Linked DNA regions of Cricetulus griseus. The protein of the gene in region 1 interacts with the protein of each later gene in a pairwise test. Links are inferred from orthologs where the notes say so. Each region holds a gene or a part of one and is shown in the gene's direction. Other genes may lie near its edges.

The links.
Region 2: the proteins of Zc3h12a (region 1) and Ahsp interact in binary tests that used the Homo sapiens proteins (3 or more experiments, as listed by UniProt). The two-hybrid records come from large-scale screens. The link is inferred for Cricetulus griseus from reciprocal best matches to the Homo sapiens genes ZC3H12A and AHSP.

The regions. Positions count from the first base shown.
Region 1 is NC_048595.1:27,928,677-27,932,878, forward strand, and holds the start of Zc3h12a (endoribonuclease ZC3H12A), read left to right. Parts: upstream 1-1,402; 5' UTR 1,403-1,552; intron 1,553-2,246; 5' UTR 2,247-2,280; coding exon 2,281-2,714; intron 2,715-4,202. UniProt on the Homo sapiens protein: Endoribonuclease involved in various biological functions such as cellular inflammatory response and immune homeostasis, glial differentiation of neuroprogenitor cells, cell death of cardiomyocytes, adipogenesis and angiogenesis.
Region 2 is NC_048596.1:72,527,637-72,531,566, reverse strand, and holds the start of Ahsp (alpha-hemoglobin-stabilizing protein), read left to right. Parts: upstream 1-1,130; 5' UTR 1,131-1,260; intron 1,261-1,431; coding exon of another isoform or gene 1,432-1,537; intron 1,538-1,627; coding exon of another isoform or gene 1,628-1,660; intron 1,661-3,333; coding exon of another isoform or gene 3,334-3,379; intron 3,380-3,930. Other genes in the region: Rusf1 (RUS family member 1), read right to left, coding at 1,432-1,537, 1,628-1,660, 3,334-3,379. UniProt on the Homo sapiens protein: Acts as a chaperone to prevent the harmful aggregation of alpha-hemoglobin during normal erythroid cell development. Specifically protects free alpha-hemoglobin from precipitation.

The DNA.
Region 1 (4,202 bases):
GATAGCTCAGTGGTTAAGAGCACTGGCTGTTCTTTCAGAGGATCCTGGTTTGACTTCCAGCACCCACACTGCAACTTACAACCATCTGTAACTCCAGTTCTGGGGGCTCCTAATCCCCTTCTGACCTCCTGAGAACCAGACATGACGTGGTATGCAAAATACCCATGCATGTAAATAAGATAATTTAAAAAATAAGCAAAGTCAATAAAATTATTGTTATTATTTTTAGGCTGAACATGTGCAGTTGTATATGTAGTGTCTTTTCCAGCATTCTTAGTGGACCCAAGACATTCCACAAGACAGGTTTAACATGACTAAAGTATTGATACATGGTAATAAGCACTTAGTTTTGAGTGTTTTGGCTTCCCAGGTCTCAGTTTCCCTATATACAAGCACATTGGTGCTGGTCCTCCATGTGCATGTCCTGGGGCCCCTTTCTCCCTCTCTTCTGCCCCTTTCTCTTCTCTGGTACACACACACACACACACACACACACACACACACACACACACACACACAGAGAGAGAGAGAGAGAGAGAGAGTAACAGCCAGGCTCCCTCTGCTCTGGGTCAGCAGAGGCCTCCAGAATGCTTATAGTGGTCCCTGATGCTCTGGAATGGGATCTCCTGGTCTTGGTCTCTCTGGCTGAGGCCATCTGGCCTTTTCTGCATCTCTCAGGAGTAAATGGAGCTGGCAGGATAGCTTCTGCCTTAACTGCAGCATTCAGAAGGCTGAGGTAGGAGACTGCTGGGTTGTTCAAGTCCAGCATGGGCTGTGAGGCTTGACCTTGTATCAGAAAGAACAACAAAACTCAAAGGAAATGAAAGGTCCATGAACACAGGGATCTGTCCACCTCTTGAGAGTGATAGGATGAGTTTTGCCCATCAGCATTCTTCAAGAACTCTCCCACAGAGATTCTTGTCAATGTCCCTCCTTTCCGTGGCTTTTCCTCCACCACAGTGCATCTGTGGTGCTGGTGCCCTCTCGTCTTGGGAAGGTATTTATTTCAGGAAAAGTGTCCCCGGCCCTTAGTGTGCCTCAATCTCTGAACCGGCTCCAGACACAGCCGATGGGACTGAAGCGGAGTGGCCCCGTCTCCATCAAACAGGAAGGTACGACCACCAACGGCTGTGGCCTCACTTGTGCACTTAAGTCTGGACCAGGCTGGTAGACTTGTTAAATTCTTGAGCTGAACCATGGAACCCGTGCTATTCCGGTTTTGCACAGTGCGCAGAACCTGCTTCTGCAGCGCCTGCCTTAGTGAAGTAGTCCGGTGGCACAAGCCCAAGGCCGCCCAGACTGGGCGTGGTCAAGGGCGTGGCCAATGATCTGGGGCGGGGTCTGGTCAGGGACGGGGCGGGATCAGCGCGGGTCTGCCGGGGGCGGGGCCGGGGCAGGAGCGGGGCGGAGCAGGAAGGGGCGGCGGCCCTGCCCGGCTTCCGCGTCACGGCCCTTAAAGCACCTGCCCGCCTGTCGCGGCTGCGAAGGTGCCGTCCGAGCCCAGGAGTCGGCTCCATGGACACTCTACGGGCTGCGTCCGGCGCTCGGCGGGGTGAGTGAGTGCCTCGGGGTGGGTCGGGTGGGACGCTTCGTTGAGTCCGGCCTCGGGAGGGTCGCGGGCCGCGTCTCCATCCCGGATCTCCGGGACCCTGCCGAGTTCACCCTGGTGAGTGGAGAGGGGTGTATTGGGGCACCCGGCATGCGCAAGGCTCTAGCCGGGACCGCCTCGCGTCACCGGTCCTGGTAGCCAACCAGAGTCGCCCAGCAACTTTTTCCCCCGTGGGTCACCCCGGAAACTTGTCCTTCCCGGAATGCGACTCCGGTCCTGGGCTCTTACTATGGAACTCGAGAACGAAGGCGATGGCCACAACGGGGAAGCCCCTGGGTCCTCTACGCACTTCCCAGCCCCCAGTTTCCTTCTGAGAGCACCGCCCCTGCCCCCTAGGCCCCTTGGGTTGGCATGAATGAGGACGGGTTTGGGGGTGGAGTCAGACAAGTTCAATTTTTTTCGTCACCACCTATGAGTTGATGACCTTGAGTAAATTCTTACTGCCCGTGCCTCAGTTTCCCCCATATAAGAATAACTCCTTGCTGAGAGCTCTTGAAGGAACAGCCTGAGATGACACATGAGGATAGCTTTGGATAGTGTCACCTCGTTTCATATTGCCTCATCCTGTGGGGGAAAGAGGCTGAAAGAGAGCTACATGGAGTATTCCTTGCCTCTAACCCTGTGGTCTGGTCAATAGGAGCTGTGATGGACGCCTTCCAAGAATCTGAGATATGAGTGACCCTTGTAGAAAGAAGTCTGTCCAAGAAGCCAGCCCTACCATGAGTCTGTGGGAACTTGAGGACAACCACAGCTGCCGGGGTCGCCCTCAGCCAGCCCAGGATCCTGAGGCTAAAGAGGCCTCTGCTGAGCTGCAAATGAAGGTGGACTTTTTCCGGAAACTGGGCTACTCGTCCTCTGAGATCCACAGTGTCCTGCAGAAGCTGGGGGTCCAAGCAGACACCAACACAGTGCTGGGGGAGCTGGTGAAGCATGGTTCAGCTAGTGAGCGAGAGTGCCAGGCCTCGACAGACCCCTGCCCCCAGCCCCCTCTGGTGCCCCGGGGAGGAAGCACCCCCAAGCCTTCTGAACCCTCACTCCCAGAGGAGGATAAGGATGGCAGTGACCTGAGGCCTGTGGTCATCGATGGGAGCAATGTGGCCATGAGGTATGTGTCACTTCTTTGGAGGGGACCTGTGGAATAGTCTGTGGCTCTTCCTTTGGGAAGAAAGCTTTGCTTTCCTCGTGAACTGGTAAGAGAATGTATACGCTCTCTGGGAGGCCCCACCATGTGCTAGGAGGCTCCCTGAAGCCTTAAGACTTCCTTGGGGTTATTTCATGAATGTCCAAAGAAAGAAAATAGCTCAAACCCTTACCCAGAGTCACACTCCTTGGTAAATGGGAATCCAGGATTCAAACTCAGCCTTCTGTGCCCAGAGTGCACCTTGTACCATGGTCTCTCCTGAGACCAGTCTTCTCCTTGCCTATCACATGAGGCAGGACAATACAGGGGATTAGCCTGTGGGCTTGAGCTTTCTGGGAGTCACTTAACCAGTTGAGTCATTTCTTCACTCTCTTGTCAGTCTTACCTCTCAAGTGGCCCTTGTGGGGAGAAAAATGCATAGAACATGGGGAGTTAGTTGCAAGGACTAAGTAAGCAGTTGTTGTCATTCAGTGGCTGACTCCTCTAGGACCTCCTTGTCATAGACTTGTGCTCCCACAGTAGCAGCAAGGCTTAGTTAGCTATTGAGAACGTCCTAGCCCTAACTAGGTGTGACCTATTGGCCAAATCTGGCTCTCGATGGGTGTGTGCAGGTGGCCTGATGCTCTGGGCTCATGTGAGCCCTGATTGGAATCTGTATTGACTCAACTGACGGTGCTTGGTCTGGACTGATCTCTGGGGGTTCCCAGACCTCGGTGCTTGTCCGGATCTCTCAAGGATTGGGGTGGGGTGGAGGCAGAATATGAGCCAGGCTGCTTCTGACCTTAAGGAGCCCTTGACTTCTCCCTTCCATCCAGGCCGCACCCTCCAACCCTGCTTTCTCCCAGTTCCCTGCACTACGGGCTGGTGAGTCAGGACTGGGTGGATCGCACACAAGGAAAAGTTCCTGTTGGCAGGGACCAGGGGGGACCCCAACAAGAGAACAGGAAGAGGGGAAGTCTTCCTAAATGCCTTGAGGGTTCTTCCAAGTGGACTGCCCAACTTGTCATGATGTCAGCCTCTTCCCTACCTGGCATTTGGTCCCACCTACTCTCAGCCCAGCTGGGTCAAGTGAGCTGTCCAGCTGGTCCTGGCCCTACTTAGCTGGTACATGGGAGCAACGCCTTTGGGTCCATCTTCACATCTTTAAAATGGGCTGATCTTGGGTGTAAGGCTGAGAAACACTGCTTCCATGCCAGAGGGCAATGGGTCAAACTTACACTGTCAGACTCTAGAGTTGTCTCTGAGGTTCTGAAATAGGGTATGCATTTGGAGGGGTCTGACTTCCCCTAGGCGTCATGGGCTGGGTGTTACAAGTCTTGTGGGCAGCCATGTGCTATGTGTATTTGTATCCTGGGCAGGGGAAGGAGGGGCCTGGATGGAAGGAGGGGCAGTAGTGGAGGGGTTCAGGAGAGCTGATACCAAAGAGACAGACAGCTACTGTCTGCAGGCCTC
Region 2 (3,930 bases), on another chromosome or scaffold:
GTTCCCAAAGAGCAATGGGTCAGATAAGTAACTTAATTTGATTTTGGCCTTTATTATTTTTTAATTAAAAATATTTATTTATTGTATATTGGGCATGTGTGTGATGATGCATGCACGGAAGTCAGAGGAGAATTTGTAGGAGCCCTGACTCTCCTTCCATCATGTTGGTCCCAGGGATTGAACTCGGGTTGGCAGGCTTGGTACCGCCATCTTGCTGGCCCAATGACTTCCACTTTCAAAAGAGTATTGGACTTTGTTGAGGACTTAAGAGGGATTATACTACCTAGGAAAGAACGGCTTCTTCAGCAGAGGGAGACAGGGGGATGAATGGAAGGAGGAGGAAAACTCCCAAGAACAGAGTGGAAAGTGACAGTTGGGAGGAAGTATGGATGACAGCCACTTTCAGGCTGCTGTGGCTGTGGATGAAGGGCTGGTCATGGAGTGATCTTAAGGGGAAAGACAATGCCTTGTTCTGGTACAGTATTTGATAGTCACACAGGCCTCAAAAGCAGTTTAATGCAGGATTTGAAAGTCACAACCCTTGGTCCACAGCTACAGTAGTGTTTCCTACACTAGTAACAAAAGCAGGGGTGAAGGATATGGTGTGCACAGCATTTACTGCTTGCCCTTAAGCAAAAAGACTGCTTAACACCAAATGCCAAAAGTGCTTGCTTGGGTGTGGTGCTGAACAGACAGGCCCTTGAGATGGGGACCAGCACTGAGTCACAGAGCTTTACTGTGACTTTACTGACCACAGTGGGCTTCTCTCCTGACCTTGCTAGGCCTGTTTCCTCACCAGAAGGAACTGTGGGGGCAAATGAACCCTATCACAGAGGGGAAGCTTATGTTTACTTCAGTGGCCCTTCAGCCTCTCCATTTGAATCTGTTGTGATTTGTGGTTGCTGTGTGTGTGTGATTTCTTGGCCCTAGAACACCCTCCCTTCACCATACCCCGCCCCCCCTCTTCAGGACTCAGCTTGAGGCAGGGCCTTCCTACAGCCCCAGACCATTTCCCATCTGGTATGCCCAGAACTGCAATTCTATAAATATTTGTGTAATTATGCATCATTTCCTTTAAAGATGGGAGAGTCTGTGGTCTGTGTCACTCATGTAGTAGGCATGAAAAAGATGTTTTACTGAAGAATGAAAAACAGCCAGGAGCTAGCTCCAGACACTGGTGTCAGACTGCCCTCCAGCTCGCAGCTCAGGACTCCCTCACCAGGATGGTTTCCCAACATGGCCTTGCACAGGCTGGCTGAGGTACAAGGGCTGTCCTGTCAAAGGAGGGTCAGAAAACTCGTCTGTGTCTGAGTAGAAACACATGAACTTTGTTCCCCTTTCAGAAGTGCCTTCAGCACAGGGTCCAGGTGAGCCACACACAGCACCATTAAGGACATACTTCAGTTACACAAGTGCCCCAGGGGTGGGTACCTTGGCTAGGTTGCTGATACTGACAGTCATGGTGAAAAAGATGGGGTACATGGGAGCCATAATCTCCAAGAACATGGCTATATCGTTGAGGACATCAGCAAAGAGCCTAGGGAAGGGACCAGAGGCCAGGGGTTATAAACAAGAGACTTTTATAAGAATGGCAGATTCCCCCATCCTCTCCCCCGCCCCTTCTCACCTCCACTGCTTTGCATTACAGTCCAATTTGCTCCTGGTGGGGATAAGAAGTTGTAATTTAGAACAAAGGAAAATGCTGTGGGCTCTAAGGGAGTTGTCCTTCATCATGGTGAGGTCTAAAGAGCTCAGGGAGGAAATGGGCTTCCAACCCAGACAGCTGTGACCCTGTCACTGTTAGATCACAAATCCTCTAGCTGCTTTTCACTAACCCAGTAATCAGGCCACACTCTGCTGCAGCTCTATGACAGCAGCTGTGGGAGCCTTGCAGGCCTTCCCAACCGAGCTGCAGAGTAAGTCCACCGCCCTAGCTAGTGCCGGCTCCATCCCCCTTAGCAACAGACTGGCCAAACTAAGTCCTGTGGTGTGGAACTTGCTGCTACTTGTCTGAAAATCTATGGAAGTCAGATCTCTGGGGGATGTGAAGGTTTTTTTTTTTTTCCTTTGGGCTCCTCTTGTCACACCACACGTGCATGGCTGTCATCTCCCCTCACCTAGCTTCTCTCTGGGTTTTGAAGGGAAGGCCTGTTCTCTTCTGTTGGGGCCCCACCATGCTGCCCTTGGTAGGATGCTCTATCCTTCCTAACTGGTCTCCTGCTGCAAGGCAGGAAGCTCCCTCTCCTGATGAAGCCCTTCTGAAAGGTAACTTTGTATCTGCTTCTCTGCCAGGGTTTTGTTCTGACTGTCACTGCTGCCTGAAATATGACCCTTAGCGGGGAGGACCATCAGTGACCGCTGGCTGGGTATATCTTCCTCTTACTGGCTCCAAGGAAAAATTATCCTGTTTACTGGCTGTTCTCCCACTGCCTGGGCAACCTTTGAAGAGGCTATTTCTGGATCATTCTCCTTTTTTTCTTTTCTTCTTGCTTCTTCAAAGGTAACCAGGCCAAAGTCCACATACCCGGGACTGCTTTATGCACACTCAGTATAACTGCAGGGTACAGGAAGCTAGCCCAGGCTCTCTTGGCTCACGAAACAATGGATGGGTGGGAAGGAAGGCCAAGGGAAATGGCTGGGCTCCAATATCCAGGCTGAGGATGTTTCTGTTATACACCACGATAGGTACTACCTCTTCTGTCTCCATTCCACAGTTATTCTCTGGCCCGTGCATAAACACCTGAAGCCAATTGCTCTAAGATCTTAGTGTTACGAGATGCTGCAGTGCAGTCCAGCCCAGATTCTCATCCCTAGCTCTAGATCTTCATCTGGAATCCCTCAGCGGAGGGGGAGCCCTAGCTAGGGTAGACTATATGTGCCCAGGGGAGTTGCTGAGCACATGGCACCCTTCCCACTTACCCAGCCTGATGGCATGGTAAGAAGAAAGGTCTCGGTCCCACCACAGCAATTACAGAGTGAGTGGCTTGAGAAAAAAATAATTTCCCGATTCTAGATATATTTCACATCTTAAAAAGTGTCCCTGTCATCTTTTCAGTTTGGGCAAATTGAACCCAGGGCCTTGTCCATGGCAAGGCAAATGCTGTACATCTGAGCCATATCCCCAGACTGGCATCTCCAAAATGTTCAGTGCTACCCAAAAAGCTTACAGGGATTAGAGATGATACAAAATTCAAGTAGGATATAAAATGTTAAACACTTTGCATAGATTTTTTTTCCCATTGAACTTTCTCCAACAAACAAAGGCTTGCATTATTACCAGTGCCACTGAGAGGTACTACCAGAGCCAGCTGACTGGAAGAGTCACAAACTTACCCTTTCCACCAGGCAAAGATGATGCGGCCCAACATGCCAGTGGAATCTGGGGATGGGAAGAAGGCATTGTAAGGACAAGGAAGGAACTCAAGAGCTGCAGGGCAAGACAGACACTGGCTCTGAACTGGCTGATTCACTTCCAGTCATGCTGCCCTTGGGAAAACATCTGGTGTGACAAATTCTAGACAGAGCTAATACTGAGGGGTACGATGAGGTCAGCAGTTTTCCAGTACACGAGAGCTATGTGCCTGAGTACAGAGTGGACAAGAAATGTTGTTTGCAAACTCGTTGGACAGGCAGGCACTCTATAAAGTGAGCTGCATCCTCAGCCTGCAATGCTGTTAAATGACAGCAAAACACTAAAATGATGTAAATGTTTAAAGATAAGGGGATTCATAACATCCTGGTAGATCTACTCAGTGGCATATTAGGCAGTCACAATGATATGTGCCAATGATTCACAATAACACTGATAAATATTATAATCTTGTATGAAAGACGAATTCATAGAAATTACATACAGCACAATATGCTCTTCAGGAAGCTCTACAACTACAGTGTTGAGAAACATCTCATATATCTTAGGCTTATGGGAAC